4 linked regions of the Notamacropus eugenii genome follow. The protein of the gene in region 1 interacts with the protein of each later gene in a biochemical or structural test. Links are inferred from orthologs where the notes say so. Each region holds a gene or a part of one and is shown in the gene's direction. Other genes may lie near its edges. The genes, in order: SNTB1, TANC1, MAPK12 and ASNSD1.

The links.
Region 2: the proteins of SNTB1 (region 1) and TANC1 interact in a test that uses a peptide from one of them, tested with the Homo sapiens proteins (2 studies listed by IntAct, with this or other methods). The link is inferred for Notamacropus eugenii from reciprocal best matches to the Homo sapiens genes SNTB1 and TANC1.
Region 3: the proteins of SNTB1 (region 1) and MAPK12 interact in a test that uses a peptide from one of them, tested with the Homo sapiens proteins (2 studies listed by IntAct, with this or other methods). The link is inferred for Notamacropus eugenii from reciprocal best matches to the Homo sapiens genes SNTB1 and MAPK12.
Region 4: the proteins of SNTB1 (region 1) and ASNSD1 interact in a test that uses a peptide from one of them, tested with the Homo sapiens proteins (2 studies listed by IntAct, with this or other methods). The link is inferred for Notamacropus eugenii from reciprocal best matches to the Homo sapiens genes SNTB1 and ASNSD1.

The regions. Positions count from the first base shown.
Region 1 is NC_092875.1:124,293,398-124,301,006, forward strand, and holds the start of SNTB1 (beta-1-syntrophin), read left to right. Parts: upstream 1-4,595; 5' UTR 4,596-4,836; coding exon 4,837-5,476; intron 5,477-7,609. UniProt on the Homo sapiens protein: Adapter protein that binds to and probably organizes the subcellular localization of a variety of membrane proteins. May link various receptors to the actin cytoskeleton and the dystrophin glycoprotein complex.
Region 2 is NC_092876.1:217,990,589-217,998,281, forward strand, and holds the start of TANC1 (protein TANC1), read left to right. Parts: upstream 1-4,686; 5' UTR 4,687-4,828; intron 4,829-7,693. UniProt on the Homo sapiens protein: May be a scaffold component in the postsynaptic density.
Region 3 is NC_092874.1:304,233,997-304,241,491, forward strand, and holds the start of MAPK12 (mitogen-activated protein kinase 12), read left to right. Parts: upstream 1-4,486; 5' UTR 4,487-4,594; coding exon 4,595-4,719; intron 4,720-5,127; coding exon 5,128-5,257; intron 5,258-7,495. UniProt on the Homo sapiens protein: Serine/threonine kinase which acts as an essential component of the MAP kinase signal transduction pathway.
Region 4 is NC_092876.1:256,830,198-256,837,759, forward strand, and holds the start of ASNSD1 (asparagine synthetase domain-containing protein 1), read left to right. Parts: upstream 1-4,557; 5' UTR 4,558-7,562.

The DNA.
Region 1 (7,609 bases):
ATCTGGTAGGGCTAGGTCATCTTCCCTAGCATTTCTTTTCATTAGTTCTCTTGATATTCTGGACCTTTTGATGAATTTTGATATTATTTTTTCTAGCTCTAAAAAGCTCTGGTATTTTGGTATGTCACTGAATAAGTAAATTAATTTAGGTAGGATTGTCATCTTTATTATATTAGCTTGGCCTACCCATGAGCAACTGTTGTTTTTCCACTTACTTGGATCTGATTTTATTTGTGTGAAAAGTGTTTTGTAACTGTGTTCATATAGTCCTTGGGTTTGTTTTGGCAAGTAGACTCTCAGATATTTTATAGTGTCTACAGTAACTTTAAATGGGATTTCTCTTTCTATCTCTTCCTATTGGGCTTTGTTAGTAATATGTTAGTAATGCAGATGATTTATGTGGGTTTATTTAATACAAAGTAATTTCATTCTATGAAATAATAGGGAGAGAGACTGGATTTGTTATTTTATTATATGTTGTTGTTCATCCTTCATTTTTTAAGAGGACAAATGACACCGCTGAGTAATATCTGTGTGTGTATGTGAATTAGATTTCAGTGAGGCAGGTTTTCCCAAAGTCATCAGCCTCACTCTCTCTTCCAGAGACATAGAAGTCCAATGACGACACAAAAGTCAGAATGACTGGTGATGGCCCAGGATGCAATGGATGGATGACCTTGGCATCTTTGATATCTGACCAAGCTCTAAGTGTTCCATGGATCCTACTTCAATTGGGCCATACTGTTTTCATCTACCCATTCTGCTGGAGGAAGTCTTCACAGTCTTGGGATAGACATCCCTTTAATTTAATATAAGAAACTTATAGATGAGGAAACTCCCTTTACCAAAACAGATCAGCACCTTCTCTTTAACATAAAGCACTACAAAGGTGAGGAAGGGAGGGAAGTGAGAGGGTAAATGATTTTCCAGGATCACAGAGCCAGTATGATTAAATGAAAAAGATAGTTTGCATGATTCCCATGCACAAGATCAATGAACCTTGGTCTTTCTGGCTCAAGGCTGGCTCTCTACTTATTAGGCCACATTTCTCACAATATTTTATAGATACTGAATAGAAACTAATTTCAACAGATGAGAGATAGCCTGGAGTGACTAGGGAACTAGCCTTCTTTCTGTCTTTAATGGATACTAGCTATGTGACCCTAAGGAAATCACTTAACCTATCAGTGTTCCAGACAAAGTTCTAAGGCAAAAAGTCAGGTTGTCAAATACAAATTTCCACTGGAAGACAAAGCTTCCTTACCAGGGAGCTTCCCATAAGGATGAAATCACACATCTGGACTAAAAAAATGAAGAGTTCCCCTAAAAGATAGAGTACTAATGGGGAAAAGGAAAGGAAAAATATTGTGGAGGAGATTTCAAATTTAGCCTTTGGGGATCAACTTTTCCTGTAACGTGGAAAAGAGGGTTGCATTTAGAGTCAGAGAACCTGGCTCCAGACCTCAGCTCATTCGCTGTGTGTGATTCTCTGAACTTAGATTCTTCTGTAAAATAAAGGGGCTAGTCTCTATGAACTGCAAAGATCTTTTCCACCTAGCAATCTATGTTCTAGCATTTTCTGACCTTGACCAACAAATCTGAACTTCTGAATGCCTTTGACAATTTTCTAAAATTTTAAGTTACAGCTGAGTCGAGGATCTTTATGGGTAGAAGAAACTTTCTACACTGATGAAATCTCCTGTCCAAAGCACCTCCACCCCCACCACCAGCCTCCCAAAAGTCATCAGACTTGAAGAAATCTGTTGTACTAAGAGGATGGGAGTTATGACTGAAGACAAAAGAGGTCAGTAATTTGAGAACATGGAGAATTTTGAGGGGAAGCGTAGATGAGGCACTGAAAGGCTACTGCAGTGGGGGATTGGGGACAGTATGAGGATAGGCATTAGCAGCATGAAGAAGCATGAGGAGTGAGGAGAATGCCAAAGAGAATCTTCACCTATTTCAAATGTTTGCCTAGGACTATCCTGGTGGCCATTAAAGGACAGAAAATGCTCTTCTTTTTCCTATTCCTCCCTCCATACTGCATGGTCTCCTGGTCTCAGAACCCAGATTTTAGAATAGCGCCATTAATACTATTGTTGTTATCCATTATGCTATTAAAGCTTAAAGCTGCATTGAGACTTTTGAGAAACCCAGTATGAAGCTCATCTATATAACAGATTAATAATAATAGAGCTTATATTTCTGTAGGGTTGTTGTGAATAAAGCATTTTAGAAATCAGAAAGACCTATATAGGGGAAGCTAGGATGTGCAGTGGATAGAGCACCAGGCCTGAAGTCAGGAAGACCTGAGTTCAAATCCAGCCTCAGACCCTTACCAGCTGTGTGGCCCTGGAAAAGTAACTTATCCCTGTTTGCCTCAGTTTTCTCATCTGCAAAACAGGCTGGAAATGGTAAACCACTCCATTATCTTTGTCAAGAAAATCTTAAGTGGAGTCACAAGGAGTCAGACATGACTGAATAACAACAACTACAAAGCACTGTACAAATGTGTTAGAGAGGCAGGATGGCAGGCCTTGTAGCAAATAATCCCAGGATTCAACTCCTGTGCCTGACACATTGGTTATGGGACACTGGGCAAGGTGCCTCACCTTTCAATGCTCTAAAGCAACACTTCTCAAATTTTTTGCTCTCAAAATCCCTTTATACTTTGAAAAAATGATTGAGGACCCTAAAGAATTTTTATCAACGTAAATATCTATTGATATCTACCTTATCTGCGATTAAAATATAAATTTTAAAAATATTTAACTCATTTAAAACAAGGACAAACCCACTACATGTTAACATAGATAATATTTTATGAAAAATAAGTATATTTTTCAAAACAAAAAATATTGAGTAAAAATGGCATTTTTTATAGATTTTTGCAAATCTCTTTAAAGTCTGGTTCAACTGAAGATGGTTAGATTCTCTAACCTGTTCTGCATTCAATCTGCTGTCATGTTTTTCCTTAAGACAATCAGGCCTCACACAGTCAAATAGTCAGGAAAAGGAAAGAGCATTTTAATAGGCAAAAAATGAATTAGTATTATCGTGAAATTAATTTTGCCCTCATAGACCTCCTGCAAGGACCTCAGGGACACTTGGGGGAGGGGGTGTCCATAAACACTTTCAGAACCACTACTCTGGGGAAGGTAATGGTGCTAGGTGCTACACACTGTGCTAAGTATTTTACAAACATTACTTCATGTGATACTGACAGCAACCCTGAGAGTTACAGTTTATTACAGTTCTGATTACCTCAGTTTCACCAGTGAGGAAACTGAGAGAAGCTGGCTACCCATGGTCCTTTATGTCAGTGGTAGGGTTGAAAAATGGAAAATGGAAATCCAGGTCTCCTATATGACTGAAATGACTCAATAACAAAACCTGATGCTGAGGGGAGCACTCTTTCCACCACAACATTGCTGCCTCTGTAATAAAAATAAAAGTAATAAATAATCTCAGTAAGATCTAAGGTTTATGCAGAATCACTTTTAAGGTTTGAAAAGTGCTATTGTGGCCTAGACTGGCAATGTACCAGTCTTTTGTAGCATTTTTCTCTATGAGAAAACATGTTCCCAATTCCAACCACTTCAAAAAACAAATCCTCCATACACTGGAGCCTGATACGCCCTAGAGAGAGAAGAAATAGGAAGGAAGTAAAGTTTGGAATGGGATTAGGGAGAAAGGACTCATAAAGCATACAAAATAAAAGAACAAAATCGGATTGAAGTCAAGGCAGGTGACTTCTCTGAGCAAACAGGGAGACAGCACAGTAATTCATGATAGCAGACGTTGGACTAAATCCATTTCCATTCCTTGGACATGACACAAGGCAAGTCCTCTGAACACGGAGAGCTTTGAGGAATTGGGTTACTATGGGGACTTCGGGTTGACCCTAAAGTCTGGATACTCAGGGTCTCCTTTTCTCCGGTTTTTTTTTTTTTCCTGAGGGTGCAAGCTACCTTCTCACTTAGCCCCGGAGTCCCCTTGTCTTTGACTTTCAAAAAAAATTCGTTAAGACGAGAAACCAACCAGAGCTCAGCAGAGAAAGGAAGGATTAGGTTTGGGCAAAGTAGTAAGAGATGGCCCTAGGTTTATTTCAGAAGGGGGATATTAGAAGGGTACGTGGCAAGCTTAGGCCACGAGAGAGGATAGCAGATGTGGCCCAACAAGGCTAGCTGGAGAGAAAAACAGCTGAGAAGACAGGAGCTGAGAGTAAAAAGTCTGTGAAGAGGAAGGGAGCCAAGGCAGAGAGGGGGCTCTTGGCACCGATTTGGGAGCGGTCGTCAGCTCAGGTCTCTGCTACGCTTAGTTGGGGAAGGAGGGGTGTAGGTGGGGTGGTGCAGCATTGGTTTGCCTTTGCTGCGGCGGCAGCGGCGGGAACTGGAACAGGTGAGCTGCGGGTGCCAGGTCCCTTCCCTGCCCTTCTCCCAGTGCCCTTTCCAGAGAAACCCTGCCCAGCTCTTTGCAGTTCGGCAGCTCCCCTCGGATTGGGGTTTTGCAATTGGCGGCAGGGTGCTTCTCCCCCCCCCCCCCCCCCCCCTCCTTCTTTTAGGTTGCTCCACCCCGCCCCGGATCCGGCGAGGGGGGAAAGCAGCAGAAGCGATTAGCTGGCGCTAGCCAACTCGTGCTTGCGGAGTGTGTCTCTGAACTCCGGGAGTGAAGTCCCGCGGCGGCGGCAGCGGCAGGCGCTGCCCCTCGGGTCTCGGGCTTCTCGCTCCCGCAGGACCCCTTGGCCTGCCCCTACCCCCTTCCCTCCAGCACACCCACCCTTCCCCACTTTTTTTTCCTTTTGCAATCACATGGTATTTTAAGAATGCTGGAAAGATGGCGGTAGCAGCAGCAGCAGCTTCGGCAGCGCCGGCTGGAGGAGGCGGAGGCCGGGGACAGCGGAGCGGGCTGCTGGAAGTTTTGGTGCGGGACCGCTGGTACAAAGTTCTGGTGAACTTGAACGAGGACTCCCTGATCCTGAGCAGCGAGGAAGGGGCCGGAGCTTACAACGGCATCGGGAGCGGCGGAACCACCAATGGCTCTTTCGGCCGGAGCAGTGGCGGCGGCGCCAGTGGCCACGGCCCCGGGGGTCTCGGGGGCGGCGGGGGCGCTGAGAGCGGGAACCAGTCCCTGAACACCTCTGTGCCGGCGGTCGGGGGCAGCCCCCAAGTGGGAGTACGCACTGCCTTCACTGACCTGCCTGACCAAGTGCCCGAGTCCATTGCCAACCAGAAGCGGGGCGTGAAGGTGCTGAAACAGGAGCTCGGGGGGCTGGGCATCAGCATCAAGGGGGGCAAAGAGAACAAGATGCCCATCCTCATCAGCAAGATTTTCAAGGGACTGGCAGCTGATCAGACCCAGGCCCTGTACGTGGGGGACGCGATCCTGTCTGTGAATGGAGCCGACCTAAGGGACGCCACCCACGACGAGGCAGTTCAGGCGCTCAAGCGAGCGGGTAAAGAGGTTCTGTTGGAAGGTAAGGGGTTAATGCCTCCTGAGACTCGCTGCGCATACAGACACAGGCATACACACAGACACATGGACACACACACACGCCAGGTGGTAAAACACACGCACTCGCTGGGGGCCGCGCCGTCTTGACAACTTTTGTGTCCTACCAGCCTCACCTCCCCATTCCATGAAGTCTGCCAGCGGCAGCGGAGAGATGACAAGCCCGGGTCACTTCAACTAGCTTTCCCGACCTGGCCTTGTAAACACTACCCTTGGGCTGGTACTACAGTAAAGGTCGGGGTCTGGCTGGGATGTGAGGGTGTGGGAGGAGTATGGTTGGAAAAGTGGAAGGAAGAGAATAATCCCAACCTCTCACATGAGAATTCCTACTCTGGCGCTTTGGGTCTAGGGATTGACTGGGCGAATTGGGAGAGACAGGGACAGACCAGGAATGTAGAATCGAGCGCATTTAGGGTTAGGGTTAGGGTTAGGATCGAAGGTCCCCGATCCCCCTCCCCCACCCCCACCCCCCCTTGCAGTTGGTGTTGGGCAAAGTCTAAGACCTTTCACTGGCTGCACGTGTGACCTGTAGAGACTGGTGATGTCAGAGACAGAGACAGAGAGAGACAGAGAAACACTTGTCAGCTAGCTTAGGCAAGGCGAGAGTTTTGCTAAGAAAATGTGGCAGTTTCGTGCAGGAGTTCGCCACTCCTTCTGCAGGGCGTCTGTCGGTCCAGTCCGGCTGGATTCTTGATTGCGCTGCGTGGAGAGCTGTGAGGTCGTTTTCTGCCCACATTTTTTTTTTCTAGGCTTTCTTACTGTAGTCATATGGTCTGGGGCTTCAATCTGCACTAGTTTTTTATCCGTGCCTGAGGTGCCTTAGAAACTACTTCGTGAGCCGATTAACCTGAACACCTCTACACCCCTCACTAGGGCTGCGTCTGAAATACCCTAGGAATTACTGTTCATTACAGGTTTGGAGATATCCAATGTTGTGAATGCGGGGGAACAGTTGCAGACCAGACAATTAATTCTTCATGCCAACTGCGCGCACATTATCCCTCCATTCTATGGAACAAAACATTCCATCTGAGACCCCGTAAAAAGCCATTTGTTGTAAGCCTGGGAGCACGGAATCTGGGTGGAGGAAGACCAGTCTGGCCAGACTCCCTGATGGCCTTGTGGTGGTGCTGCTGTCTCTCGGTGTGGAGCTGTGAGAGGAAGAGAAGCCGCGGTCGAGCCCAGCGCTGCGGGGAAATAAACTTTGCAACTTGTGACAGGTGATGCAACTCCCTGGAATATGATAGCCCACCTGATGGCCCAGAAGAAATGAATTAAAGCGACGCGGAGTTGGGTGTGGAGGTGTTTCTGTACTCTGCCGACGTACTGCTTTGTGCCTCCTGCTTCTACCGCCCTCCGCAGCTAACTCGGCACTAGTCAATTTGCTTTGGCTTGGTGATTACCATAAGTAAACAGTCAAGTTTTTCTTTGCCAAGGTGTGTTGGGGTAGGTGGGTGGGTAATAAGACCTGGTCCCAGCCAATTATAATTATGTGTGTATCTATATAATATACACATATACACAAACATACAGATACCATCCAACCCTATGTCTTTCTGGAGCCCAGTAAAATACTGAATAGAGGCTAGTAGGATCATTGACTTCAGGCTGTTACTTTAGGAACTAGCCCCATCACCTCTTCTCATTCAGTTTTCTTTTTTTTCTTTACACCCTTTTCTCTTTTTTTCACACTCCTTGGGGTCTTCCGGTTTTCTGACCAGCAATTCAGATAGTCATCTAAACAGATGCTTTGTGATGTAGCAGGCAGCACAATCTGAGTTCCAGTCTAGCCTCGGGCTCTGGCTGGTTATACGACCCCAGACTAGTCTTTCAGTGACCCTAGGAACTTCTTTCCTAGACTTAAATTGCAGAACACTAACTCAGTTACATTGATTGCAAGCATTTCCTCACTGGAGAGCTTTCTGCCCTGATGAAATTATTGGTCTGGACGAAAAAAATTATCTAGTAAAGAAGAAAACAAATTACCCTGGGGTTGAGGTCAGTGGGGTGGTCTTGGAAAGGATAATATCAAAGAAACATATGATGAGGGAAAGTGGGAACATGCCAGATAGAGAATGAGCTCACCTGGCTGTTGGGG
Region 2 (7,693 bases), on another chromosome or scaffold:
ACATCTAACCATGAGTTAGTACCTATATATATGACCAAATGCCATTACACATGTCAAGACTGTTAGTGATGTGATTCTTATTTCTTTATGTTGTCCAAGTCTTTCTGAATTCCATTTACTTTGTCTTTCTAAAGTCCAGACAGGCCCTTCTCCGCAAAACCCTTTCTAATACGCCTTGAAGTGCCTTTACTCTGTCACTACTGTCTTTTTTCAATTTTTAAGGACTACAGAATTCAAAGTATTTCTTCTTTCACTGTGTGTATTACATAGGCTATAAACACTGGCACTGATCCTAACTGATTTTTTAAACAAAATCAAAGACTCTGGGCCTAGGGAAGCATATATTTCCTTTCAATGCATGGTTTCCTGCTCTAGGCAATAAGCTGTATGGTAAAATGACCTACCAGTTTAATATTTGTTGTTTTTATTTCCCCAAGCTTTGGAAAGTTTGCAAATTGGAGGGCAGAAAAATTATTGTAATCTCATTGTGTTTTTAAGTACAATATATAAATATGGCACACATGACAAATATTAAGATTCCCAACCAAAACATCGCACTCTTTTCCAGATGGGGTTCATACTTCTTAGATCTAGAGCTGTTCTGGACCCAAGGTCTAGTTCAACTCCCTCATTTTACAGTGGCAGAAACTAAGGCCCAAGGAATGGACTTTGTCCTGGGTCAAACAAGTTATAAATTACAGGGGTCGGGGGCAGCTAGGTGGTGCAGTGGATAGAGCACCAGAGCAGGAGTCAGGAGGACCTGAGTTCAAATCTCACCTCAGACACTTGACACTCACTAACTGTGTGACCTTGGGCAAATCACTTAACTCCAATTGCCTCATCCTGGGTCATCTCCAGTCATCCTGGTGAATATTTGGTCACTGGATTCAGATGGTTCTGGAGGAGAAGTGAGGCTGGTGACCTGCACAGCCCTCCCTCACTCAAAACAAAGTCAAGTGCAAGTCATGTCTTTATTTCTCTGATGGCATGGTCTTCTTAGGCAACAAAGGATGAACACACACACACAAATTACAAAGGCATTATTTGAACTCAGGTCTTCTCACTCCAAAACAAATATCGTTTTCTCTTTCCATATATAATGTAAAGCCAATTATAAAACCTTTTAAAGTGCAAGAGATGGTGATAACAGAAGAAAGCATACTCACCCTACCCACAACAATATCTGGTCCCTTCAGTAACACAAAATCAAAAGAATGGGAATAAAAGATTTTTTTTTTTATGGAGAGGTTATTTAAATTACTTGAAACTGGACTTATTTAGTATTTTAGAAGCTTATTTTGTTCCTGTGGTAATACTAAGTATTAAGCAGACCACAATCAACTTCTAACCCTTAGTAGACAACTTGAGAGAGATGCCTAGGCTCATCAAGTTTAAGTGATTTACTTATTGTTATACCACTTGTTTCAGAAGTAGGATCTGAAATGAGGTCTTCCTGTTTCTCATTTCATATATTCATTCACTTATTCATATGGAAAGCTCAAAAATGTTCCAATGTTTTCTTTAAAACATTGATTTTTGTGGGAAAATTTTTAACCAGCAAGTTTTTAAATAATTACTTTATATTGTGGTTTTCATCATTCTTTTCTGTTTAAACTATATGTTCTTCCTACCTCAAATACAGTTGTTTTGATGTTCTTTCTGTGATGTAGCTATATGTAACATTAGCTGTTTAAAGTTGGAGATTAAATTGTATAGTATAACATGTGTATTTTGAATTACATAAACATTGTAGGAAGAAGGAGAGACAGGGCCCCTCTGTGTACAAATTTCAGATTGCTAGCCATGTGACTGCTTAAAATATTAAACACCACTGAAAATGTTACTTTATATCAGTGCTCTAAAGCCACTTTAAAAAAAATCAAGTCACTAAAGAAAGAACTTAAAGGAATTAATGGTAACTGATAAATCTATAGATATCTGTTAGTTTCTAATTATAGGGAAACTTCATTAAATTCAACCTTAAATCAAAATTTTTGTTCAATTATGTCCCCCTCCTTGGGGCTCCATTTGGGGTTTTCTGGGCAGAGACACTAGAATGATTTGCTGTTTCCTTCTCCACTTTACACATCTGAGGAAATTGAGGCAAACAGGGTTAAGTGACTTGCCCAGAGTCACTCAGCTAGTAATTAAGTGTCAGAGGTTGACTTTGAACTCAATGTTTTCCTGACTCCAGGCTGGGGCACTCAATCCACTGGGCCACCTATCTGCCCCTCCAAAGCATGATTAAACATAATTTTTATTGCATATATTGGAAGACAGAATTTGGAGAAAATAGGAAGTAAAAAAAAGTAATGCAAAGAATAAATTTGACCTGCTATACGTTAATTTGTAGTGGGAGATGAGCCAGCCAGTCTGTTGCCTTGACTTTCTTACTAGTACTGCTTCTTTTACCTCTTAATATTACACATTTATTAGAATCAGGTAGGAGGGTCTCTTTTGTTTTGCATCCTCCTGCTTTCCCTTTGGTGCTCTGTCTACTCACTCCTGTTAATGGTAATTTGATAACTTTCGTGCATTTAAAATATCTTAAAATAACATTCACAAGATCTCCTTCCTTCTTAGTGTAAATTAGAATGAATTACACTGTGGGTATCTGTAATGTGACTTCTGAAGTAGGACAAAGGGTGCCTTTAGCAGCATTTCTTTTTTGTTTGGATGAGTTTATAGCTCAAACATTAGGTTCAGAATAACTAAGTTTGAAACTACAAGGGAAAATTCAACAAATTTCAGTAGTCCTGTTATACTGACAGAGTTCCCTGTCACTTAGTGCATCTTTTTACTGGAGTCTAGAAACATGGAGATGCTTATTGCTTTATCTTCATTCTGAGAAGTACTGTGTGAGGAGCCAAATTTTATGGGGAACTCGTTTAAAATACGGTTGTCCTGAAAAGAGAATGTCTCACAGACTAGGTTATGGGTTGCCTGTAAACCAGTTTATAGCAACTTCTGTACATATGTTCCCCAATCCCACTGATGAAGCAAACCATGCAAAATTCCTTCTGAAAATACGACAGGCACAATTGATTAAGGGTGCGTAGGTCAGGGCCATATGAAGCATTTGGACAAGGTAGACTACACCTCGTCCTAGAATGAGAGCACGGGGTAGGTGTTACTGTCTTAAAAACGGAGTGTTGGATCTAAGGTATCCAGTGCTTTCACAAGCTCGAGATAAATAGGCATAGTTTTCACTCAGGCTTTGCAGGAATCTCTCCGCCCCACCCCCTTTTTTTTTGGAGGCCCAGACCTGTTATTTTATTAGTGTGGGGAACTCCCAGCGTGGAAAGTCCATCTACCAATGCAGATCAGCATCTTTCTTGCAATGTTTAATCACAGAGTGAGAAGTGAAGAGATTTGATCAGGGTCACCAAGCCCGTATAGATTAGGGGCAGGAGTTAAACCCAGGTCTTCCGGACTAAGGAGTCTGCTCCTTATTCACTGAAGTCTAGGGGAAATGGATTTAGAAAAGGAATGGGGGAACACAGAGGTCATCCAATGCAAACTCCTTGTTCCACAGGTGAGAAGTTAAGTGGATTGTCGAAGACAACTACGTGTAGAGCTGGCATTCGAACTCAGGGCAGCTATCTCTAAATCCTGTCCCACTTCTTCTTTACAGGTGAACATATTTTGGGTCGCCAGTTTTTTGATTTGCAGTTACAATCCAAAATGATAATGTTTTAAAAACTTCAAATTCCTACAGTGTTAATAGACAACGATTGCATTTGACATAGAAACACTTGGCGGGGGGGGGGGGGGGGGAGGGGGAGGGGGAGCCCGAACTGCAGGAGCCACGCAAAGCAGCGGGGCAGCCCGGGTCTGAGCTGGCGGCCACCTCGTTATCTGCGCGCTCCGCTTTGTTTGTCGAGGCTGAACAGCAGGGAGGGGATCTTGCCCACCGGACCCTCGCACCGCCTCAGCGAAGCCACCCCCAGCCACAGCCCTTCCAAAGGGAAAGGGAGAACTAAGAACTAAGCGGAGGAAACAAGCAGGCGAGTGCCAAAAATATATAAATAAATAATTAACACCTCCACACCCCCCCCCCCCCCCCGCCCCCAACAACAACTCCAAACTTCTGCTCGTCTAATTGCTCCCACATGTTTTCCTCGGTGATTTCCAAAGGGCAGCCAGACCCGGGCTGGGGGTGATGGGTGGTGGGGGAGAGGAGACAGCCGGATCCCTTTATTGATCTGAAGGAGGAGGAAAGAAGGCCAGATCACCCCTCGCCTAGTGCATCCTCACTCCCCTTCGTAGGGAAAGCTCGGACCTTTAGGGACAGTCTCCTTCGCTGAAGCCCGGACTCGGAGTCCGCGGCGGGGTAGGAAGGGCACCGCGCGCAGCGTCCATTTAGCGCTGCTCCCGCAGCGCCCCAGCCGGTCCCTTCTGCAAATAGACTCCGAGCGAGGGGGGGGGGGGGGGGGGGGGGAGAGGAGGAGGAGGGGAGAAGGAGGCCGGGGGAGCGGGGCGGGAGGAGGGGATGGAGGAAGGTGCCTTCGGGAAAACGCGCAAGGGCGGGGATTAGCGCTGCCAATGAGGCCCCGGTGTTGGCCTTGCTAGGCGGGGAGACCCGGCTCGGAGCAGCCGCCTGGCAGTAGCAGCCCCGGGAGCGGCTGGAGGAGGAGGAGGAGGAGCAGTGGCAGCAGCCCCAGCGGCAGCGGGGCAGAGGCGGCGGGGGGCGGCCGGGGCGCTGCGGGGCTGGGCTGGGCTGCGCTGCGCTGGGCGCTGCGGGGCTGGGCGCGCACGCCGGGACCGCTGAGCCGTGCGCCTGGGGGAGCGAGCGCCCCGAAGGAGCTGGAAACTTTCCCGGCGGCAGGTAACTTGGCGCAGTCCCGGGCGCATGGGGAACAAGACGGGGCTGACTTCTCGGGAGGATGTTTGTTAAATTCCCGGGGTGCGGGTGGCAGCACGCGCTGCGTGCAGGGTGAAAGGAAGGATGGGCGTGGGAAAGTTTCTCTCGCCGCACCCCCCCTTTCCCTATGCACCCCCGTTTCCAGCCGCCAGGGAATACGCTCGGACATGTTGGGTGCTCCGCGGGGCCTCGGGTCTGAGCAGCAAGTCCGCCCTTTTCCTTGCTCTTCCTGCCCTGCCCCGCCCCGGCCCGGCCCGGCCGCGCTAGGCCAGCTGCTGGGCTGGTGGGAATGGCCCTGGCGCTGTGGAAGTTTGGGGTCCCTCCTCAGGCACTTCCCCGTCCCGTGCTCTGGGTCCTTTTTCCTCCTCCCAGTTCTGTTGCCCCCAAGCTTGGCCAGGGCCTGGGCTGCGCCTGGTACCTGGGGCGGGGGAAAGTGGTGGGAGGTAAGGGGTACCTGGCACCGCTAGATTGGGGGAAGGACGGCGCGCAGGGGCGTTGGCAATGAGAGTGACCGGGGTCTCCAAGCTGGAGGGGCAAGTGTTGGAGGGAGATGGATGGTGATGTAAGCGACATTCCCCGTAGAAAGTCTCCAACTTTTAAAGAAACAATATAACATCTCTCAACTCCTCTCTTCCCCCCTCCCTTTTTTCTTTTGTACTGTGTAGCATAAGGATGGTTTGTCTTGGATAAAGGAAAAGAATTGTGTCAAGAGTGCGTCTACTCCTTCACTCTCTTAATTTAAAGTCAGTGTAAATCATCTCTTGGGGAGATGAAGGGTATTGACCTCGGGGTCTAGGCAGGGGCACAGTTTCCCAGGGGTGGGGCACTCCACAATTCCAGTCTGGAAAGGAAACCCCAAGCGTTGGGTGCTCTCTGTAGATCAAGAAAAGTCTCTTTAACTGTCTTTAAAAGTTTGCTTGTTTTATGGTGCTAGGCTTCTGCCCGGAAATGTGGTGATTGATAGCCAAGTAGAGGAGCCACTGGGGGTGGCGAGAACCCGCCGTGAACCTAACCGTAGTCATCCACTCTCACCTTTGTTTATACTTAGGAGCATGAATGGCTGTACCTGGAATGATGGCTTTGGAGATTATCTGCAAACTCCAAATTTAACTTTGAGAGCAGAAAATAGGTCCTTGGGCAGTTAGTTAGTCCGCTTTAATCCTGAACTTGACTGACATAGAACGCCCCATCCCCTTTACTTGCAAACTGGAGGACACAGCAGTTGAATGAGTTTTGCTCAGGATATCCCCCAGACGCCCCTGCTGGAAGGAGGTGCCTAATTCAAAACCTTTGAAGAAAGGATTTAGGAACTGGCTCTTGTCACTAAATAAGGCTTGTGTATTGGTTTTCTCTTTCGGTGGGCTAGTGGGGAAGAAGGGTGCCCTAGGAAAAAGGGATGTTTGTGTCTTGTCTTTGCTTTTCCTCTATCATCCTTATGTTTGCCAGGGTGGCACTGTAACGCAAGGGGGAGGGGTGCCTAAGACTAGTTACAGATTCAGGAGTAAGTAAAGGCTTCCCCATCTGGCAGAGTAGTGTCAGCCCAGCTACTGGAAAAGGCAGGAGATTTTTTGGCCTTTAACAGCTGCCTTTTTTGATTGCTGGGAACGAAAGAATTTATGAGTGGCTGAGAGGTGTTCATTATAGTATTTTGAATGTTTTACTCATGAGCCTTGCAAAGAGATTACATCGAGTGTGTTGATTTCTGTGCAAAGTTTCTGTGTGAGCCATAATGCTTGGTGGGTGTCAGCCAGAGTGCTTTTGTAAGTATATCCTGGTGGTTTTAAAATTAAAAGTATTCTCAAGTAAAGGAAGTAAATATGGTATCTGACATCCTTCAGTGTTTCCGCCCAGTGTTGGTCCAGTTACTCACCTGCCAAGTGATCCTATTCCAGAACTTCCTGACTACTGTGATTTGACAATAAAGGATGGGAAATAGTGTCATTGACTTGTAGTGAAGTCAGGAAAGTCCAGAAATAAATTTAAGGTTCTCTTTAAGTGACCTGGCCTTGCAGATGTGGTGCAACAAACTTAATTTTGCTAGTAGTTGGAAGTGGTAGATTTCCTGCTTTCTCTGGTTTGGTTAAACCCTAGAATGGACAAATTATTATTTCTGTCCGTTGTACAGCACAAACATAGCTTTTTTCATAGCCAGCCTTGCTCAGCTTCCCATAAAAGCCTGTAGGGAAGGAACGTTTTGTTGGTCTAACCACACTCATTTATTTGGTGCCATTACAGCTTTGTGATAGTGGTGATCGGAGGGCATAATTTTAAGGACAGTGAAGTAATCTTGATTAAATTGTTCATTTTTGTGCCACGTCATCTTCTGAATAAAGTGTTCCTGATTAATACTTCATCCCCCAGGGAAGCACTAAAACCAGCATCCCTGTAAAGAGAGAACTGTAATCCATAGTATAATTATGCCTGCTAGCATAGCTGGAGGTTAACATTATGTCAATGTTTCCATTATACATTTCTAATTCAATTGTTAAGGTTTTGTCTGGGTTACAAATGGACTTTGAAGGTCTTAGAGAGTAGCTTTTTTTTTAAACCTGCCCAAAGTTCAGTTTAATTGAGAAGTTAAAGGGGTAAATTTGTGAAAGCAAAATCTAGCCCAAGGCTTTTTGTTTGTTTGTTTCGGTGAATTATGCTGGTTTGGTTTCCAGCTTTTTTTTTTCCTACCTGTAAAACTAGTAAAAAGCAGCTCCTTCCCTGTCCTTTTTCTAATTAAAAAAGGTACCAAAAGGCACATATGACCAGAACCAGTTGTGTGACCTTGAAGGAAAGTCAATTCACCTCTCTCTGGCCCTGTGCAGTAAATGAAAGGCCTTG
Region 3 (7,495 bases), on another chromosome or scaffold:
TCAGTTGAAGGGACTAGTTATGGTTAATCTGGAGAAGGGACATGATACTGTAGCTTGTTTTCAAGTCTTAGAGGGGTATCAAGTACAAGGATTAGTGTGTTCTGCCTAACCCTGAGGGCAGAGCAGGGAGGAGTCACTGTGGAGAGTTGGAGACAGCTCCATGGAAGGCCAGACCTCCAGTATCAATACTGTTTTTGTGAAATTTGTATTTCCAATCAAACATAGAGACTTTGTGTATATTTTGTATTATATGTGCACCTGGTGGTTCCTCCCATGGAGGATAATCTCCATGACGGTAGGTAGGTACCCTTTCTCTTTGTACCCTTAGTGCCTGGCACATGGTAGGTGTTCAATAAATGCTCATTGATTGATTGGTGGATGAATTAAAAACTCAAGTAAAAGTTTCCTAAGGATGTGAGCTGTCTAGGGGTGCCCTGAGTGGCCTTGGGAGCACCCAGCATCCTCCTTGAGGTCATGACTCAGCTTCCCAGACCTGGAGAGGTGGTGAGCTCAGTCCAAGAAGAAGCCAGCCTTCAGAAGAGGAGAGAAGTCTGGCTTCTCACTGATGCTGTCTCACCTATTCACCATGTCCTTGACAAAACTCCCTTCCTTCTCTGGGCCCTGCTGTCCTCCCCTGCACAAGGGGGTTGGAATGAGGGTCTCTGGGCAGGAAATCCCATCATGACAGAAGGAGCCTGGGCTCCAGTCCCTCAGAGAGATTGAAGGATGGAAGGTTGGTACCTGAATTTTGAAGGCTTGGATCTAACAGAGAGGTAAGGGTTGATGGTGGACATGCTCTGGAGACAAACCAAATCCGCTCCATAGCATGACCAAGAGCCAGACCCAGCAGCCAAAGGAACGTTCAAAGAAGCCAGATTGTGTGCAGAGAGCCTTGAATGTCAGGCTGACACAGCAGTGTCCTGAAACCAATAGAGAACACCACCCCTCTGGCCCTGTTCTGGCACAGTCATTCCAGCTCCTCCAGTCAGCTCCCTTCCTCAATCCTCTGGTTGCCCAAGTTCATGGGTCCCCAAACACTGCTGGAGACAAACGGTCTGCCCAGGGCCTCCCCAGATAATCTGTAAATCAGCTAACAGAAGAGGGAAGGACTAGGGCAGGGAAGTCTCTAGAAACTTGTAGGGCTGAGGGACTTGGGACCCTAGCCCTATGATGCCCCCCATTGGGGGTGGGGGCATCCACATGCTAATGTTTTTTTAGGAGAAGGGTAACATGGTCAGAATTGTGTCCAAGCAAGCGGATTTTTACAGTTTGTGGGAGAAGGATTGGAGAAAGCAAAAATTGGAAAAAGGGACAGTCTGGGTGAGAGATGAGGGAAGGGGCTACTAGGCTTGTGGCTAGGCTTGAGTGAAAAGACTTTGGAATTGGACTGGGGGCTGAAGAAGAGAGAAGACTCACAAAATGACAGAGCAGCAACAAGTCCTAAGCCAAACTCAGACTGAAGATCTCCAAGGAGGGCAGCCTTGGCCCATCCCACCTTTGGACCACCCTGAAACTTCCACCCCCTGCTCCTTATTCTGCCCTTTGAGGTCAAGCTGAACCAGGCTAATTCCTCCTCCATCTAATACTTAGGATTTGTCTCTAGATACTTAAAGGCAGCTGAAATATCTCTCCTCTGCTTTTTGCCAGGCTAGTGGATGACTCAGATTCTAAACCTCGGTGACTTGGAGATAGCCTCCACAGAAATAAGAGAGTTGCAAGTTTGGGGAGAGGCTTAGATGGATTAAATTAATTAAGCTAAATTAATCAATTGATTAGTTTATTCCTTTATTTCATGACAAACACAAGCCTATCTGACGCTTCATTCTTAATTGTCATCACCCAATTGTTGCCTTCCTACAAGCTGTAAAATGTGAGAATGTCCCAAGGCTCTGAACCAGCTCTGCTTTTCTTCTTTTCACTCTTCATTGGTAATTTCAGGTTTCATAGATTTATTTTTCTTCTCTATGCAGATGATCCCCAAATCTATAGATTTGTATGGATTATGCATAGAGCCCTTAATGAGTTTCAATCTCTTTCTCCCTCCTTCCCTCCCTCTTTCCCTCCTTCTCCTCTCCTCTCCTCTCCTCTCCTCTCCTCTCCTCTCCTCTCCTCTCCTCTCCTCTCCTCTCCTCTCCCCTCTCTCCCCTCTCTCTCCCCTCCCTCTCCCTCTCCCTCTCTCTCTCCCTCTCTCCCTCTCCCTCTCTCCCTCTCTCCCACACACACTCACATCACCAACTGCTGCCTGCTGGACAGCTCCACTTGGATGTCCCTCTGAACTCAACACATTTACCCTATGGTTGATCAAGGGGCTAACATCTATGTATTTAAGCATATAAAGGGCTTTGTTCTGCTTGGCCCCTGAAGGCAGGACCAGGAACAGTGGACAGAAGTTGTATTGCGGAAGATTTTACCTAGAATTAAGACAAACCTTTCTAGCAAAAAGGATTGCCTCACCAAAGTGGCATGTGCTGTATGAGGAGGGAGGGAGATGCCCATCACCTGGGAGCTCCAAATGGAAGGTGGATGATCACCTTTGGTGCATGGTGTAGAGGGCATTCTTTTATAGGCACATAGGGCCTCCCTTTCAGCTCTAAGATTCTGTGGACTTTTGTAAAGATGCCTGTCATCAACTTGGGGCAAGGTACGAAATTCAGATACAGGGGGGTCCCTCTTTTCTTAGAACTGTCAGTGGACTAGGGGGACCACTGGCAGGGGTGTGCTCATGAATGGTTAACAATCAGCTTTAAGGGAAAAAAAACCTGACCCACTTTTAAGTTTAACCTACATTATTACCATTTTGTCTATCACTTTCTTAAGCATAGACAATCAATAGAACAATAAATCAAGTTCTGAACTGTAGTACTTGCTGAGTTCTGAGTAGTAAATGTTAACAATGAAAATGAACAACCAGCTCTCTCTAGCTGGTCCAGCCTGGCTAGAGAGAGATGGATGTTAGCTTGGACCACTGGCCAGGAACAGACCCCTACATATTTTAGAAAGGTGTAGATAGGGTGTTGAGATGCAAAGGACATGATTGACAAGACCTGGGGGACCTGGGGAGTGTGACTCATCTGTTGGAAATGACAGAGGGCAGAGCAGGTAGCTGGCAAAACAAGGCTGGAACTCAGGGAATATTAGCAGCAGAGATCAGAGCCTGAAAAGACATCTGCACAGAAATGAAAATCGGACCCATGGCAGCAAAACGATCAGCGGAGAGGAGAAACCGGTTCAAAGATCCGAGCCTTCGCGCCCCCCCCCCCCCCAAGATGAACACGGGGGAGGGGAGGGAGGAGGGAGGAAGAGGAGCTCCCGAGACCAAGCCGGAGCTGTCTGCTAGGTAGGAGAAGTGGGGGGACCCACAGATACCAAACAAGCAACGTCAAAGACAGAGTCCCCCAGCAACCATGAGGGGAACTGGAGCGGTGGCGTTGACAGACAGACTCAGGCTGATCAGTTGCAGGTTGTAGGCAGCCTTAGATTTCACAGACAGTTCCAAGCCCCAGGGGCTGCCCCAACTTTCTGGGGGAGCAAAGCTCTTTTCTCCTACGCAAGAGACCAGTTCTAAATGGAGGAGCTCCAGTAAGGTCATCTTTCGCCCCCAACCAACCTCAGTTTCCCTACTTAATATAATGGAGATAACGATTTCACGAGTTTCCAGTGAGGGAAGCACTTTGTAATTCTTAACGTGCAAGAGGACGTTGTCAAACAAAGCTCCAGAGACTTGGGCCCTGCTTCCTCCCCACCCCCACCCTACTCCCCTTGGGAGCTGACGTCTGAGCAAGAGGAGGGGAGGCTTGGGCAGGGCTGGAAAGGGAAGGAAAGGGAAAAAGGAGAGAGGGGAAGGGAAAGGAAGTGGGAGGGGAAGGAAGGAGAGGGGAGGGGAGGGAATGGAATTGAGAGTGGCGCCTCCCTGTTGCCACCTCCCCCCATCAGGTAGTTGGGGCTGCTTCCCAGGGGAAGAGGAGGAAGGGCCGGGGTCACGTGGGGCCGCACTGCCTGAGGGTCAACAGAGACAGAGGTTTAGACAACCCCTGGTCGGAGGGGAAAAGAGAGACAAAGAGTCGGAGACTAGGAAAGGGGAGGGGGGGAAGGGGGAGAGAGAGAGAGAGAGAGAGAGAGATACAGAGACCAGAGAGGGAAGGAGAGAGTAACGCACAGAGACAGAGAGACAGAGATCTGAGACAGAGACAGAGATCTGAGACAGAGACAGAGAAAGAAAGCACCAGAGGCTGAGAGACAGAGAGAAAGAGAAAGTACCAGAGTACGAGTCCAAAAAGAAAGCAGAAAAAGAAAAAGGACGAGAGAGGGAGAGAGACTGAGGAAAGAGGGCGTAAGGGGAAGAGAAGAGAGCCCGGCACAGAGTGGGGGGGGTGGCCCCCTTCACTCTCGAGGGCCCAGGGCGTGGCTACGGCAGGCAGCCGCAGCCTCTCGCCCCTCTGGGGTGGGGGGAAATACCCTGGCGGGTTAGCCTTTGTGGGAGTGTAGTGTTTGTGTATGTGTGTCTGTGCATGCGCGCGCGTGTGTCCGAAAGCGAGTGTGAGTGCGTGTGAGCACAGGGGGTCAGTGACCTCCGCGGCACCCCGCTCCAGTCGCCATGAGCTCTCCTCCGCCCCCCCGGAAGGGCTTTTACCGGCAGGAGGTGACTAAGACTGCGTGGGAGGTGCGGGACCTCTACCGGGACCTGCAGCCAGTGGGCTCGGGGGCTTACGGGGCCGTGTGGTGAGTGGGGGCCACGGACAGGGTGTTGCGCTGAGTTGGCAGGGAGAATACGAACGGGGCTGAGTGACTGGGCAGGGGGTGTCCGGATGGGATCTCACCATGAGATTATCCATGAACAAAAACAGCAGTTGACTGCTCCCAAAGGTCACATTTTATTTCCCTCCTGGGACCCAGCCCTAGCCCCTGACCATGGGCCTGGAGGCTGAGGGGGCCGGGGAGCTCAGCCCCGCCTGGGCCCTGGGGGAGCGTTTCCCCCGGGGAGGGGTGGCTGAATGCACGTGTGTGGAAGGAAAGGAGGGAACCTCCTCTTCCCAACTCCGGGCTTTCTAGACTTCCTGGGGGCGGGAGGGAGAACCCGGGACGGCTTACCAGCCGGGATACTTGAGTGCTCGGGTGTCCGGTCTCCAGCTCGGCCATTGACAGCAGGACTGATACCAAGGTAGCCATCAAGAAGCTGTACCGTCCCTTCCAGTCCGAGCTGTTCGCCAAGCGCGCATACCGGGAGCTGCGGCTGCTCAAACACATGCGGCACGAGAACGTGAGTGAGCCCTGCGACTACCTGCTCTCCTGCCCATCGGGCTGGTCGCCAGCTTCCCAGGGGTAGGGGGCCCTCAGCACGCTGTACTGGCTGCTGGCTGCCACAGCCAGCCTGTGGGCTGACCTGCTCCCGCCAAACATAAAGGCTCACAGGAGAGATGAGATGGAGTAGGCAATCCCCCACACCCCGCCCATTTTGGCGGCACCATAGGACTCCCACGACTTTTCTGGGAGAAGTCCCTGACCAAATCGAGAGAACACATTATCTGGGGAGGTGAAGGGGTGACTTTTCCTTGTAATTTAGCCTCCAGTGATCTTTGAGGATCTGAACAGAATCAGCAGGATGGGAGCTCTGGGCAGGTGCTCTCTGAGGTACAGGTAAGGGTGGGTGGAGGGGGAGAGCAAAGACCTAGAGTCTGTTCCTCAACTGCCCTGACCCTCCCCCACATACTCCCAGGCCTTTAAATCTGGCCTCCCCAGCCCATACTGTGCTTCAGGGTCCCAGCTCTGCTGGCCAATGAGGGTCCTCATGCTATGGGCCAATGGGCAAACTCACCCCTGAGACCTGGGGAGCCTGAATGCCCCATGGTCCCCAGTGCCCTGGGACTAACCAGTTAACTAGACTCGCAGCCCACCCTACCACTTGGCTAATGAGTTTATCCCAGAATATTGTGATATCCCAGTGTCTTCTTCTTTTACTATACTGGGACCTCCCCTGAGACATGCCCAAGCTCCCAGGATGTTCCTCCCCTGCCCTTGCCACCAGGTGAACTCCCCAAGGGCACATGCCCAGGTTTGTGCCTTTAAAAGCATGAAATATTGATTAGGAATCTGCAGCATGAGCTTGCTGTGCAGGAGGAGAAGAGAACCTTTAGAAAAGACCCCGAAGCTATCTAATGCCTAATAGACATTATATGTGATAAAGGCAGACTTCTGAGCAGTCCATGTGGCCTGATGGGACAGCTCCTGGCTGGTCTGAGGACATCGGGGAAGGCTTCCTGGACGAAATGGCCTCCGAGTTTGGCTTTAAACATGAGTTGGAAAGAAGGAAGAGGGACATTCAAGGCCAGTGAAATGTTGTGATGAGAGGCAGGAGAACATGGAGTGTGTCTGGAAGGTGCAAGAATAACTATGTTTCTAAGGTGTTATAACATTTACAAAGTACTTTCCACACATATTAACCTACCTCAGATGCAGCTTCCTCATCTGTAGAATACAGGGGAAGGGAGCAAGTGTTTAGTAATCACCTACTATGTGCCAGGCACTTTACAAATATTATCCCATTTAATCCTCCTAATAGCACTGGGAGGCAAATGCTATTATTATCCCCATGTTACAGTTGAGGAAACTGAGGCAGACAGAGGTTAAATGACCTGCCCTGAGTCACTCAGCTAGTAAGAATCTGCTGCCAAATTGGAACTCGGGTCCTCCTGATTCCAGCCTCAAGACATCTCAGCACCTAGCTGAGAAGAATGCTAGAATCTGCTTCACAAAGTGGCGCTGCCCAAATGGGGTAACACTCTCTGCAAACCGTAGCTTGCCATAAACATACTAGTTGTGGCTCTTGTCATTTGAACCTCACAACCACTCAGTGAGCTAGGAATCAGTGTCATCTCCATTGTTCAAAGGGGGAAATTCTGGCTCCAAGAGGTCCCATTTGAACCCAGAACCCTAGACACAACCACATTACCTTCCAGAGAACATGTGAGTCAAGCTTGGAAAGGCAGGCTAAGTCAGGTTAAGGAACTGAGCACACCTCATCTCCAGAGAGCTTGCTGGGCAGGGGAGCAGGGTGGTCAGAGCAGGGTCCAGTTAGATTGGTTTGGTAGCATGTGAAGGATGGATGGGAGGGAGAAGAGACTGGAAGCAGAGGAACCAGCAGTGATACTGTTCCATTGGTCTAGGGAAACCACAGATGATGGAGCCTAGACTTGGGGGAGGGGAGTGAGGAAGGAATGGAGTGGAAAAGTCACCTGGAAGGATGACTCCATGGGGAGTGGTAACATTCCATGCTTCCCCCTTCTGAGGTTCCATCTGTAGGGGACAGGCAGGTAATACCTGTGCAGGGCAAGGACACATTTGAAGCCTGCTCTCCTTCTGTCTCCCCTCCCACACTCAACTCCCCTATGCCCACTTTTCTGGAGGCAGGAGGCTGGTAAATTTGGCTTTGGATGCCATACCCTCATCGCCCTCTGGAGGGGAAATCTGGCTGTAGCTGGATAGAGGGATGCTCTATCCC
Region 4 (7,562 bases), on another chromosome or scaffold:
ATAGTTCTGAAAAGGACTGAAAACATAATACAAAAACATACTCCAAAAAACTAAGAAGTATTCAAACTGAAACAAGTCAAATTCTATCCCACAACTAACAGATTAGAAAATATGGCAACAAAAGAAAATGATGACTATTGTAGGTATTACTGGAGAACAATAAGACTAAGGAGCTGTTGTTTGAGCTATGAATTGGTGCAATCATTCTGGAAAACAATTTGGAATTGTTTCCCAAAAAGGCACTAAAACTCTGTATTCTTTTGGCCCAATGATACCACTGTGATGCAAAGCTGCCAAAGAGATATAAGAAAGAAGAAAAGGACATACGTGTATAAAAAAATTATAGAGCACTTTTTGTCATACCAAAGAACTGAAAACAAAGAAGATCCCCACCAATAAGAGAATGAATATCTAGTCAAATTATGGCGTGTAGATGCAATTAAACATTATTGTTCCCTAAAAAATAACAAACATTGAGTGAACCCTGGGAAGATTTATATGAATTGATAAAGATTGGAGTAAGCAGAATCATGAAAATAATTTATATAAGGCCTATATTGTAAAAATAAAACAACTTTGAAAGATTTAAGAGAACTCTGATCAATGTAATGAACAACCACAACTCCAGAAGACTGGTGATAGAGAAATCATATTTCTCAATTCTTGACAGAGATGATGAGCTAAAGGTATGGAAGAAGGCATTCATCCTTATAAATGGATAATGTGTGAATCTGTTATTTTTGATTATACTTATTTTTTATGAGAGGATCTTTTATTTGGGAGAGGGGTAAAAATAAAGGGAATAGATGGAGTATTGATAAGAGTAGGAAAAAAAGAACATCAATGAAACATTTATTAAATATAAAAAAGAGAACAGAAGAGAGTTCAAAAAGGGAAACAGATAATCAGGACAGTATTGGAATCATGGTTATATATTTATCATACATTTAGGGGGAAAAAATACTGTACATAAGAGAGATTCACATAGCCAGAGAGGTGACACAGTGGATGGAATACTGGGCCTGAAGTCAGGAAATCCTGAGTTCAAATCCAGGCACAGACACTTACTAAACATGTGACTCTAAGCGAGACACTTAACCTCTGTTTACCTCAGTTTCCTCAACTGCAAAATGAAGACAATAATAGCACCTATCCCCAGGATTAAAATGAGGATCAAATGAGATATTTGTAAAGCCATTAACACAGTATCTAACTCAGGTGGTATATAAATACTAGCTATTATTATTTCATACACAATTCTCTTCTGTTCTTTGTATATAGAAATGATCTTGTTTCTTGATTTTTTCAAGTTCACAATAATATTTTTAAAAGAATAGATCATACCATATGAATCTTGTTTCCTTTTTTGAAAGGATTACTTGCAGACAAGGGGAATATTTTAGATATAGTTTACATAAGCATTAGTGTCACACTTAAAGTACCTCATCCTAGTAATATGGACAAGATAGAACAACATGGGCTAGATGAAGTTTCTGTTAGATAGGTGATTTGTATGATTAATCCAAAAAGTAGCTACATTAATGAGTTTATTCTGGTTTAGAAGGAGCTATCAAAGAGAATGCCCCTGGAATTTGTCCTTTTTCTCAACGGCATTGAAGAAGTCATAAAAGGCACATTTGCCAAATTTGGTAATGATACAAAACTGGAAAGGATATCTAAATGTTAAATAGCAGTAGAGAACCAAAAAGATCTCAAGAACTTAGGAAAATTGGGCAAATCAAATAAATCAGAGAAAATTTTAAATCTGAGTTTTAAAAAATCTTCATATATAATGTAAGGAGTGGTTGACCAATAATTCTTGTAGGAAGAACTAGAGATTTTACCTGACTATAAGGTCAATATGAGTCAACAGTATGACATGACAATCCAAAAGAAAATTAATGCTTTCCTCTGCACTAAAAGAAGCATACTATATAGAAAAAGGGAAGTGATATAGTAAACTGCCCTGATCAGACTAGATCTAGAGTACACTGGCCAATTCTGGAAACAAAATTTTCAGAAAGACATAAATAGGAACATGTCTTAATGAGGTAAGCAGGAATAGTGAGGACTGAAGACCATAGCATATAAATTAGGGATGTTTAGCCTGAAGAAAGGGAGATTTAAAAAGGTCATAATAGCTGTCTACAAATATTTGAAGGTCAATCCTGTGAAAAAAGGAGTTAGACTTGTTCTGCTTGCCCTGAGGGGAAGACATTAGGAGCAATGAATACAGTTGCAAAGTGATGGGTTTAGGCTTGACATAAAGAAAAATTTACTAAGAATTAAAGCGATCCAAAAGGAAAGGATAGGGATTTGAGGAGAACCCATGTTAAATGTCCTCTGTCTTGGGAGTTTGGTAGAAAGATGGGTGTTTCATCAGGTGGCTGAAGATTGTTATCAGGGAAGAGAACCTAAGGATAAAATATCAGGAATACTCTGAAAGGCTGGGAAACCACTACAGATTTTTTTTTTTTGTAAGGCAGGAATCTTTCTACTACAATATGGCCTCAGCCTTGTGAAGGTGAATACTGACTTACTATTTGGGATAGTATTAGTCTCAGGAACTCATATTATTACAGATTTCAAGCTCTAGGGGACCAAAAAGATCACCTAGTCTGGTCTTATAATTTTATAGATGAGGAAATTGAGGCCCAGAGAAGTTAAGTCATTTTGCCCAAGATCATATGTGTCAGAGTCAGGTTTTAAACACAGGCCCTCTGAGTTAAAATTTATTCTGCTGGAGTCTTTCTCAAATTGGTATTTTTCCAAATCACAAAATATTACACTAATATAAGAGCTGAAGAATGACTCAGAGCAGTGCAGTATGCTAGATGGAGTCCTAGAATGAGATGAAAATAAAATCAAGATAAACTCTCCTTCCTATGTACTATTCAGCAGGTCTTACAATACTGTTGAAAAATTGTGGGTCACTGTACAACCTAAACAGTACAACATATTATTCATGTAGGTAATAATAAATCTAAAAAGTCATCTTCTGTTAATTGCATCTGGATGAGATTGTATGATAACCAAAGGTCCAATTTCATAAATGTGGCTGCCAACTGGTCCATCAGTTTGGGTATCAAGGGTAGTAGACGACCTGTTATCTCCTGGACTTGGATAGCAATGGCCCCTCATGATGGTAGTAATGCTAAAGTCTCAGCTCCCCATTCTTCTGGGATATGTTTCTGGGATAAGAAGAGGCAAGTCAGTATACCTTGTATAGGGTTGTTTCTGCTAAATGGCGAAGATGAAACCTTCCAGAAACTGATCTGCTAAAACCCTTACCAAGCTCTGACTCAGGGAACAGAGGAAACTGGTTCTGTGACCCTTTTTCCTTTTTGGTATCTGCAGATTTCTCTAGTTAGCCAGATCAGGCTTTTTGGGGGGGGTTGTAAACCCCCCCCAAAGAGGTCTTCCCAAGAATTCTCTCCACATCATCCATTGGAGGAGCCTAACCCTGGAGTTAGGCTGCCTTAAACATCTGGGAGTGGAGCTCCATAAACAGCTTCACTAAGGTCAGGGATGCTGTCCCTACACTGCAAAAAGCAAACAAACAAATAAATAAATATGGGGAACTTTAAGTGCCATCTTGGGTCCAGGCCACTGATTCAGTCAGGAATTCTCAACTTTCAGTCCCTCAAATTCTCTCTTTAGGGTTTTTTGTTTTGTTCTGTTTAGATGCAAAGTCTGGGTTAACCGCTATAACAGGTCCATGGTCTCTGCAGCCCCCTGCTGGGAAAAAAGCAAAACAGCAGGTAACCTACCATTGCTGCTATAATCAGTCTCCAGGATGGGAAAGGACGGGAAACAGGGGAAGGAAGGGAAGAAGGAATGGAAGGAGAAGAAGGGGAAAAGCAACGGTGGGAGAAAAGGGAGGGAGAGAGGAAGGAAATGAGCATTTATTAAATATTTAGCATGTGCGCTACACTAAGCACTTGGGATACAAATGCACACTTGGAATCCCAAATACTTGGATACAATTATAAGTAAAAAGAAAGAGTCCCTGCCCTCAAGGATCTTACTTTCTAATGAGGGAAGATGACACAAAAGAGAGCTGAAAAGCAAGGGAGGGAGGAGGAGGAGGGTCAGCAAGGATGTGGGGAAAAGACTGGCCTCCATCACTGTAAAAGAGGGTAAATTTAGGTCTATAAGGTTGTTATGCAGAGAGACAGAGCACCACAATTCAATTAGGCTGAGACAAATGGTGAGCTGGTTGCCAGTCTGAGTTTAAAAACTACAGGAATCTATCAAAGGCAAAGAAGGAAAAATGAAGGAAATTTAACAAAGGTAACACACAAGCTGCTTCTCCAAAATTAAGGTCTTTTTAATTCAGAGTAATGGAAGACCTAACATGGTAACACTGGTATCACTACATGGTCCGAAGTGAGTGCCAGAACTTCCTGACCAAAACCTGAGAGTGATGTCAGTTATTATCACTACTTAACTAATTATTAATCTAGGCCCTCATCACACCATGCCTACATGCATTCAGTCATTCAACAGAAATGCACTATGTGCCCACTCTGAACAAGGTAGCGGATTAGATGCTGGGGATAACTAACATTTAGGATTAATGGAGTGCTTTAAAGCTCCCAAAGCAATTTTTTTCCATTACCAGGTTTGAACTTCACAACAACCCAGTGAGGTACATACTATAAATAGTATTATCTTCATTTTACAGATAAAGAAAAACAGGTTAAGAGTTAAGCAACTCCCTCATTCATTATCATATATCTAGTAAGTTATCATAGGTAGTTTTCAGTTCTAGATTTTCCTAAATCCAAGCCCAGTACTCTAGCCACTCTACCATACTGATAGAGAACTAGGGAATTATATCTATGGATTTGATTTTTCAAAAGTATTCTGAAATTATTTAGAGTCAAATCTGGTGAATGAGGTGGGTCACTAAGCTAGATGATGTTATTCTCAATTTTATAAAACTAGAAGTGACTATTTAAAAAAAAGTTGAGAATGATTTGTATGGTACAATAAAGTAATTATTCTCATTACTTTTTGGTCATTCTTCAAGTATGATATTCAATCAAAACTATTTTATAGCAGAATACTCTTAGTGGCACCAGCCTTGATTTTAAGAGGCAACCAGCTGGGCTTCTTTTCATTTGATGGGTAGAAGTTAAAAAAGAGAGCAAAGCAGAAAAAAGTGTCTTATTACTGTAAGGAAAAGGGAGATTAGGGGTGAAAATGACTTGTGAATTCATGATTGAGTATGTATAGGTAGACATTTGACCAAAGATTTCAGTGGATGACAGAGACCAGGGCATATTTCCTACGTCAAGTCCCTACTTAGCAACCTGAGTAAATAACCATTCTTAGAGGTGCTAATCTAGCAGGCTGGCACCATTTTCTCATTGGCAAGCATATGTTGTTATTGTTCAGTCATTTCAGTCCAACTCTTTGTGACCCCATTTGGGCTTTTTGTTTTGTTTTGCTTTGGCAAAAATATTAGAATGGTTTGCCATTTCCTTCTCTAGCTCATTTTACAGATGAGGAAATTGAGTCAAACAAAGTTAAGTGACTTGCAAAGGGTCACACAGCTAATAAATGTCTGAGGCCATATCTGAACTAAAGTCATCCTGAATCCAGGCCCAGCACTCTATCCACTTCACCATCCAGCAAACCATTGCAAGCATACAGAACAGGATATACTCCAAAGAGATTTAGGTTTGTTTTCTTTTTAACACAGTTTGAACTTCTGTGGTATTTCTTTTTTTTCTTCTTTTTGTTACATTAATATATATTTATGGAATAAAATAAACACTTCCATAACACATAATAATAAAAGAGATGATCATACATGAACTGCAGATCTACCATGCACAATTTGCTATTCCTTTCAAATATACAAAATTATCATATAAATTTACACATACATATTATTCCATACATACTTCTATTTATCCGTTCTTCCTCTGGATAGCATCCTTCTTCACACACCTTTTATGGTTAATATGGTTATTTAGAATAGTCAAAACAACTTATTTACTCATAGTTGTTCTTAAAATAATACTGCTGCTGCTGTTACTGTGTACAGTGTTCGCTTGGTTCTGCCCATTTCACTCTTCATTATTTCATATACGTCTTTCCATGGTTTTCTAAGATCATGGAGCATATCCTCTCTGATAACACAGTATATTCCATCACAATCCTGTACACAACTTGTTCAGCCATTCTCCAATGGATGGGCATCCCTGCAATTTCCAGTTCTTTGCCATCACAAAGAGAGCTGCTATAAACAGTTTCGAACATAAAGGTTCTTTTCCTTCTCCCCTAATCACCTTTGGTAGTGTCGGATCAAGAGATATAGATAGTTCAATAACTCTTTAAGCATAATTCCAAATGCTCTCCAAAGCGGCTGGATCAGTTCACCAATGATGAAGGTGTCCCAGTGAGAGCTCTGCTAGCAATTAGTTGAGATGGAAGTCTGTAAAAGTGCGCCAATCATCAGATTAGGTAAAATGACAAAAATGAGACTAATTCACTGGAGCTATTCTAAAAATGCGAAACTAAGCTCCACGGCGACTCAGCTGGGCTTACACTTGGATCCAGGGTGATACCACCAGGGGATCCAGACCCCAAAGGGGTCAGAGAGCAAAAGGACTCATAGGGACAAAAAATATCTAAAGAGCTCTTGGTGTAGCAGCAAAACATTAGAACCTTAGCGGGGCTGGGATTAGCTGCGGTACGTAAATACAGCGGAATATTGTCGTACCGTAAGAAACTGGGAAATGGAGGGTTTCGGAGAAAACTGGGAAGATCTGTATAAACTGAAGAGTTACACAAGTGTGCGTCATCAGAAAGACCTGAGGATTCCGATCAAAGCAGTAACCATCCACAACAGAGCAGACATGCAAAGAGAAATACGCATTTTATGGAGGATATTTCTTTTTCATTGGGGGAGGGGGGAGAAAAAATAAATGTCTGCTAATTTGAAAAACCCAAATTTAATTAAAAACTAGTTCTCACAATAAACAGTGGATTTAGAGGCAGCGTGCGGTAATGGACAGAGAAGGCGTCCCCACAGACACCTGGCGGCTGCGCGATCTGGGACAAATCGCCGAACTTTCCAGCGCTCCAGGCAGCTCTTCGGTACTGAACTTCCCATTACCTAGCGTATCTGAGTCTCCAAGCCTGCGAAATCCCTAGGCAAAGGAACCTCCAGGTGCAAAGAGGGCGACAACCTGAGGGCCTACTGGACAGTGCTGGACACGCGGAAAGTTTTTAATAAACGCTTGTTAATTCCAAATAAGCATAAATTTTAAAAGTCTCGATTTTTTCTACAGGGGACAGCAACGTACTATAAGCAAAAGGCTGGGGCGGAGGGGGGGAAGGGGAGGGACGCGGCGAGGGAAGAGAAGCACCGACAAGGAGACAAGAGCAGCACTCTTAGCTTACAGGCCAGCGCTTTCGAGAACTCGGGGCCGGCTTACGCGGCTGCGCATGCGCAGAGACGAGGGGGAAGTTAGCGGCTGCGCACGCGCAGAGAAACTGGACCCACGAGCCACTCCGACGACTAGCCGGAGCGTGCAAAACTGGTT